Mus musculus: one gene and its partner. The protein of the gene in region 1 purifies or fractionates together with the protein of each later gene. This does not show direct contact. Links are inferred from orthologs where the notes say so. Each region holds a gene or a part of one and is shown in the gene's direction. Other genes may lie near its edges.

Region 1 (3,814 bases):
ACTGCTGAGCTGTCTCTCCAGCCCCCCCTTTTTTTTTAATGACAGGGTTTCTCTGTGTAGTCCTAGGTGTCCTGGAACTCACTCTGTAGAACAGGCTGGTCTCAAACTCACAGAGATCTGCCTGCCTCTGTCTCCCAAATGTTGTTTCTTCTCCTTCTCCTTCATATTTAATTTATTTGTGTGGATGTTTTGCCTACATGTATGTAAGTGCATCACATACACACAGTGCCCACAGAGGCCAGAAAGGACAACAGATCCCCTGGAATGACATCATAGATGGGTGTGAGCCACCATGTGGGCGCTGGGAATCAAACCTGCATCTTCTGGAAGGGCAGCCAGTGCTCTTCAACCACGAGCCATCTCTCCAGCTCCAGCTTTCATTTTCATTAATTAAGTTTTTTCTTTGTTTTTCATGTGTGTATGTGTGTGTGTTTGCATGTTTTCACACATGTATGGGTGTACAAATGTGTGTGTATTCTTTCACATGTGTATGGGTGTGCAAATGTGTGTGCATACTTTCACACGTGTATGGGTGTGCAAATGTGTGTGTGCATGTGGGGGCCAGAGGTTGATATTGGAAGTCATTTTGTCTCTTTTTTAGCTCCTTTACTGAGACTGAGTCTGTCAGTCAAACCCAGAGCTTGCTGATGTTGCTGTCTTGGGAGCCAGCTTCCTCTGGGAACCCCATTTTTGCCTTCCATGGCTGGAATTCCAGGCGAGCTCTCTCACCCTGGCAATTATGTGGGTGCCTGGGATCCAGACTCTGTGATCCTGACTCTTGCATGGCAAGCAGTTTAGCTGCTGCTCAGTCTGCCTGGTTGCCATCTTATTTTGACTTTTTGAGACAGGGTCTTGTTATAGACCAGGTTAGCCTGGAACTCACTTGATAGCCCAGGCTATCCCCGAATGCCAGAAGATCTCTAACAGTGGTGCCCTATCTTAGGCTCTTACCCAAGCTGTCTCTTTGCTTCATAGACACTAGATTCTAAAACAGAAGCCAGCTTGGGGCAGTACCAGCTGCCTCATATGGCAGGAGTTCTAAGGGATGAGAGGTCCCTGGAAGCCATGTGACCTGTACCATGTGTACAGGAGGTTTGTGGTTTGGGCTAGAGGCTGGGCTTGCAGGAAAGACTGAAGGGGTGTGTGAGGGCCAGGATGTAATAGAGCCCAGGGGTAAGTGGACACATGTGCCTCTGAGCCTTCTTCCTCCTCTCCATCCTCAGGGGTAGGTCTGGTGCTCCAGGAGCTGCGAGGTGCTGGTGTGCTGAACGACACCCTCATCATCTTCACATCTGACAATGGTATCCCTTTCCCCAGCGGCAGGACCAACCTGTACTGGCCCGGTACAGCCGAGCCTTTGCTGGTGTCATCTCCAGAGCACCCACAGCGCTGGGGCCAGGTCAGCGACGCCTACGTGAGCCTTCTAGGTCAGTCTGTCTGTCTGTCTGTCTGTCTGTCTGTCTGTCTGCCTGCCTGCCTGCCTGCCTGCCTGCCTGGCTGTCTCATGGGAAGGGAGAAGTGAAGTCCAATGGGACAGCCATGGGTTAGGTTCAGGAGTGCTCCCGAACCTAGGTAGTGCTCCTTCACCTAGGTAGGGACAAGATGGCCCCCTCTATTACATGGTAAGAACCAGAGTCACCTGGAGGTCTGTTCTTGTCACGTCACGACCCCCAGAGTGTCTGGTGGGGTCCCAGGCAGGACCGATGGACTGTGGGTTGCCCACTTGAGAACCATTTCCCCTTTTCTCAGGATCTGGAGCCTCTCATGACTCAGCTCTGAGAGCCTGGTTATCTGGCCCCATACCACAGATGAGCAAGCATACATGCAGGTGTGAGAAACAGACAAAGGGGCTGAGGAACAGAGGGGCTGAGAAACAGAGGGACTGAGTTTGTGCCCAGCCCACCTGCTTGGAAAGAGTCCCTGTGTTCTTCTCAGTGGCTACAAGATAGGCTCCCTCCAGCTCAGGACTCGCTTCTCCATTGTGACCCTAACCCATGAGTGAGGGAACCTTGTGACCAACCCAGACTGAGTGGATGAGCCCTCCCTACCCAGGGTTCCTCTAGTCCATAGGACTTTAGAAGGTTCTTGGATATCAGCAAGCCAGGGCCTCTGGTTATACTGTTATCAGCCTCACTGGCCAGAGGTGATCCGATCCTACGAGTGCCCATGGGATTTCCCGAGAGACTCAGATCCAGCCCTTACAATGGGCTCCATGTCTTCCAGGAACCCCTGCTAAGAGCCTGTCCGTGTCCCCACTAAGAGCCTGTTCCTTTCCAGACCTCACCCCTACCATCCTGGACTGGTTCTCCATCCCGTACCCCAGCTATGCCATCTTTGGCTCAAAGACGATCCAGCTCACAGGCCGATCCCTCCTGCCGGCGCTGGAGGCAGAGCCCCTTTGGGCCACTGTCTTCAGCAGCCAGAGCCACCACGAGGTCACCATGTCCTACCCGATGCGCTCGGTGTACCACCAGAACTTCCGCCTCATTCACAACCTGAGCTTCAAGATGCCATTTCCCATCGACCAAGATTTCTATGTCTCGCCGACCTTCCAGGACCTCCTGAACCGAACCACCACAGGCCGGCCCACGGGCTGGTACAAGGACCTCCACCGTTACTACTACCGGGAACGCTGGGAACTCTACGACATCAGCCGGGACCCTCGAGAGACACGGAACCTGGCCGCTGACCCAGACTTGGCTCAAGTGCTGGAGATGCTGAAAGCTCAGCTTGTCAAGTGGCAATGGGAGACACATGACCCCTGGGTGTGCGCCCCAGATGGAGTCCTGGAGGAAAAGCTCACACCCCAGTGCCGACCGCTTCACAATGAACTCTGACCATCCCCGGGGCACCTGCCAGCCCACCTGGACATGGAGGGAGGGAGCAATGGAGGCAGTACCAACAGCTGCACCTTCTACATACCCATCCTAGGAGGCCCCTCTACCATATGGGATGCCACTCCCGCCTCCTGTAGAGGACACTCAAGCACGCACTCCCTAGTTGCTGCCATACCAAGGACACCGTTGTCCTCATGTCTGCCTGTCCTGGCTCAGGAGACTCTAGGGGGAACTCGGGCATGGCAGAACCCCAAGTTTTGATAGGTGAGTTTGGAGATCTGCAGATGGAGGAGCAGGGTCTGGGGCTCGAAGCCCTCTGGTTTCGGGAACCTGTGGATGTTTTCAAGCCCTTCACCCTAAGAGGAGCTCAGGTTTCTGGGTGCCACATGGGCAGTGGGCAGACCGCACTGACTACTTCAACCAACCTTGTCCTGGAGAGAGCATTCAGTAGGCCTTGAGCTTGCTTCCGCCTCCATGCTCCCCCCCTGAGGTACATGCTTAGCCAGGGTTCATGCTGTTCTCAGAGGAGTGAGTTTGATCCTGTGGTCTATCTGGGCTCTGCTCTCCTTTCTGAGGGTGACTGAGGAGGACAGGGTGGGACAGTGTGCGCTCTCTCTCCCTCTCTCTCTCCCCCCTCTCTCTCCTTTCATTCTCTCTGAGTGACACCAAGCAAACCACCTGGCTCCATCTTTTCCCTTCCTTCACTTGCCAAGGGACAGAAGCACTGCTTAGAAATCTAGAAAGAGAGGGGCTGTCCCTTTTGCCCCTCTGTCAACTCCATCTTGGAAGGGAGTGAGAGTTATGGGCCCTAGTGTTGGAAAATCCTTTTTACAATAGTATAATCATTCACAGAACTTCATAGTAGCACACTGCATCTTAGGCACCGAGACACAAACACCGTGTCAAAATGACTCAGTTTATGGCTAGATGGGGGCTTCACCCAAGTGTGGCGCAATGCAGCCTGGGAAGGACTGGGG
Region 2 (3,814 bases), on another chromosome or scaffold:
GCAGCTCTCTTCATATGTAAAATGAATGGCAGGTATAATCAGCCACTCTTGGGAGGGCAAGGAGATGATGGGAAATAATGTATATGAAGTCCTAGTCACAGGGTCTGCTCACGGAAGGCCTTGACTAAACGGACTCTTTCCTGCTTCATTTGGCTTCAGAGTTCCTCCTCACAGATTGCCTTGCTTTGGACAGGCTCTCACAAATGTCATGACACATTTACTCAGAACAGTCTAGCCACGAATGTGTCTTTATGTGAAAGAAGACTGTCACTCTTATGGATACTAGTTGTGTCCTATCAGGTGGCCATGTGCTTTTTAGTCCTGGACTGATACACTTAGAAGCCAAAATCTGACTAAAACAAAAAACAAAACAAAACAAAACCCAGAGTGGCAGTACGTCTCCGGGGTGGCAAGGAGGTAATTATCTTAAGCAAAAATAGAGATGCACATTATACCCTGGGGACGAAGGGGGGTTTCAGTTATGACTTGGCTTCCAACAGCCAGGAAGCTGTTCGTCTAACCCCATTCTTCAGACAGGGCTTTTGGCCTTTGTTTCTAACTACATTCAAGGTTATTCCCCTTAAAATCAGGGAACAGGGAATATATATATGAACTTCAGCTCTAGAGACACAACCCCCTTGATAGATACAAAACTTTTTAAGGTCTGAACTGGCTTCCTCTGTGTAGAAATGGACGGTGAGGTAGAACGTTGCAGGATCCTTGAGGACCTGGGGTGGACTTGTTCTCTAGATCTCAATTTTACCTTCTTTTCCAGGTGCAAAGTTGGTTAGGAAAACCCAAAGGAGACTGCATTTTCATTGGTGGTGCTAAGACTTGAACACATAGCCATCTGTTTTATGACCGAGCTGCACTCCCAAACTGGAATATACTTTTAAATTTATGCCCTAGACTCAGAGCTACTCAGGAACCTTTGTGGAGTAAATTAATGAATGTCCTATAGGAATTCAGAGCTGCATGAGGAGTTAGGTGGGCCAGTCTAGGTCACCTAAAAGTGAGTGGTGATTTCAGCTCCAGTGACTTCCTCCATCCTCTCAGGAAAGGCTGCTAGTGTGAGGCAGATGGTGCTAGCTGACCCTTAGTAGGATAGCAGAAACATGCAAAGTTAAAAGCTAGGTGTCTGGAAACAGGCTAAGGGTTTGGCATGTCTTTTAGGGACTCACAGATGTGTAAGGGAGTAGATGCCAAAACTACTGTGTAAGCCCAACAAAGTTCTGGTTTACTTTGCATGGAGCTCTGTGGAATGTACAGATTATAAGCTGAGCCTCTGTGGGCCTTACATGTCTGCTGTGATAGTCACTGGAGGCTCTAAGGTGCCCCTAACCATTTTGCAAAATGCGGAAGGAGCCAGAAGCCTCTGCTGATGACTCTACGCAGCTGAGCCAATAGGGGCAGAGCTTCACTGTGCCTGCCATCCCCATGGAATCTGTGGGCCTCCAAGGCTACAAAGTGAAGAGATGCTTGAGTGCAGAGAGGCTGTGACCCATTTGGGCATCTAAAACTTCAGAAGTCCCCACTGCAGAGGACAGGTGTGTCGCAGCTAGGCTTTGAAATCATGACTGTGGTCACTTTCTGAATCTACCTCCTGCTTTCTGTTCAGGCCGTTGTCTCTTTTAACTGCGCGTGTTCCTCTCTAGGTCAAATCATCCGGTTCTCCATGTTTCCTGGAACGATGCTGTTGCCTACTGCACATGGGCGGGCAAGAGGTTGCCTACTGAGGCAGAGTGGGAATACAGCTGTAGAGGAGGCCTGCAGAACAGGTACTCAAACACAAGGCCTTGCCTTGCCCTGCAGTGTGTTGACATTCTCTTCTACACCTTCTTCCTCTGCTCCTCCCTTCTCCCTGGCTCCCTGGAACTTGCTGTGGTCAGGAAGTTGATTAATAACAGCTGGCTTTTCTTCTTCCTTGTGAGGTGCTTTGGTGACACTAGTGGGTGAGTCACAAACTTTTTACAGTTCCTAAAGCCAGGTATGGGACCAAATGGACTCTGTAGTGGCAGAGTGAGCGCTGGCCACACACCCGCTCCTATGTATCCCTCCTCAGAGCTGCTTGGCAGGCTGCCCTGCTTTTAGCATTTTCTTATTTTGGCTGTCTTCTGAAACCACGGTATTCTCTGCTTCTGCAGCCATGAGACAGAAAACTCATGTTTGGGTCACATCTTCTAGGAAAAGCTCCTTAAAATAGACAGGGCTTAAAACAAAGTGTGGTACGCAGTGCCTGCTCATGTTACCATATAAGTCCAGAGTGATGCCTTGTGTCTCCGATCTCTAGAAGGCCTCTTTCAGTCATATCATTTATCTCAGGCCTTCTCAGTGCTGAGGAGAGACTGACGTTTTACACACTTGACATGAGTTGTTTTAAGAAAATTTCTAAAAGTTCCAATTAAAAGTTATATTTACAAGGGTATCTTTTAAAGAAACAGTTCACCCAGGACAGACGTGCATTGTTTGTTCTCTCCCACTGCATCCTTCCTTTTGACTGTGGTCCAGAAGCCCGTGCACCATGCTGATGCCTGTGTCTCTCCTCACAGGCTTTTCCCCTGGGGCAACAAACTGCAGCCCAAAGGACAGCATTATGCCAACATCTGGCAGGGCAAGTTTCCTGTGAGCAACACTGGCGAGGATGGCTTCCAAGGAACTGCCCCCGTGAGTAAGCAGGCTTCTTGAGAAGGGCTGTGTGCCTGGGAGCCAAGGCACTGGGCCTGGGTTGGAAGACCCGGGTCTGACACCAGCATCTGGAGGTTGAGGCAGGAGAATCAGAACTTCAGCTTGGCTACGTAGTGAGTTCTAGGCAAGCTTGACTTACAGGAAGCCCCATCTGAAGAACACAAAACCAGGGCCAGAGAAATTCATCAGTGGGGAGAGGTAATTGTAAGCAAGTATGCTGACCCATGTTATCACCTAGAATCCTTGTAGTGGGAGGAGAGAGCAGAATCTCGTAAGTTGTCTCCTTGTTTCCACACACACTGTAGCATGAGCTTGTGTGTGTGTGTGTGTGTGAAAGGTACCATTTGCTCTCTGACCAGCACTGTTCTTCCTTCACTATCCACCCTCAAGAGTGGCAAATGCTGGAAATCATCAGATGTCTTGTCTCCTTTAGGGTGCTTTTTTTTTGTGTGTGACTATATAATGCACACTATAAGAAAAAGACTCCCTGGATAGAGGAAGAAGCTAAGCTGGCCTGGCAGTCTACTTCCCAGGTTAATCTCTATTAGCACTCTGGTCCCTGACCTTCCACTCATCCTAGGGGTTAGTGGTGATGGTGGTACCAGCTTTGCAGTGTGCCAGGATTACTGCTCCATTATCATGCATAGATCTGCTCATTTGTAATGTCCATTTAACTCTTTAAGATGGGTATTGGTGTGCCTGTGACATTCTGAGGCACAGAGATGTAAACTCCTGTTCCAGTTTACATAGCTGGGAAAGTGACCACAGCTGATTCAAATCCCAGCTTGGCTTGTTCCCAAATCTCATGATCCTAACTACCCTTTTTGCCAGCATGTGTATCTCTGGTGTCTTAGTCAGGGTTTCTATTCCTGCACAAACATCATGACCAAGAAACAAGTTGGGGAGGAAAGGGTTTATTACACTTCCATACTGCTGTTCATCACCAAGGAAGTCAGGACTGGAACTCAAGCAGGTCAGAAAGCAGGAGGCTATGGAGGGATGCAGAGGCTATGGAGGGATGTTCTTTACTGGCTTGCCTCCCCTGGCTTGCTCAGCCTGTTTTCTTATAGAACCCAAGACTACCAGCCCAGAGATGGTCCCACCTACAAGGGGCCTTTCCGCCTTGATC

What was found.
Region 2: the proteins of Sgsh (region 1) and Sumf1 purify together in Homo sapiens (co-immunoprecipitation; 3 studies listed by BioGRID and IntAct, with this or other methods). This does not show direct contact. The link is inferred for Mus musculus from reciprocal best matches to the Homo sapiens genes SGSH and SUMF1.

What each region holds. Positions count from the first base shown.
Region 1 is NC_000077.6:119,345,301-119,349,114, reverse strand, and holds part of Sgsh (N-sulphoglucosamine sulphohydrolase precursor), read left to right. Parts: intron 1-1,223; coding exon 1,224-1,427; intron 1,428-2,277; coding exon 2,278-2,837; 3' UTR 2,838-3,814. UniProt on the Homo sapiens protein: Catalyzes a step in lysosomal heparan sulfate degradation.
Region 2 is NC_000072.6:108,151,077-108,154,890, reverse strand, and holds part of Sumf1 (formylglycine-generating enzyme precursor), read left to right. Parts: intron 1-1,655; coding exon 1,656-1,778; intron 1,779-2,549; coding exon 2,550-2,664; intron 2,665-3,814.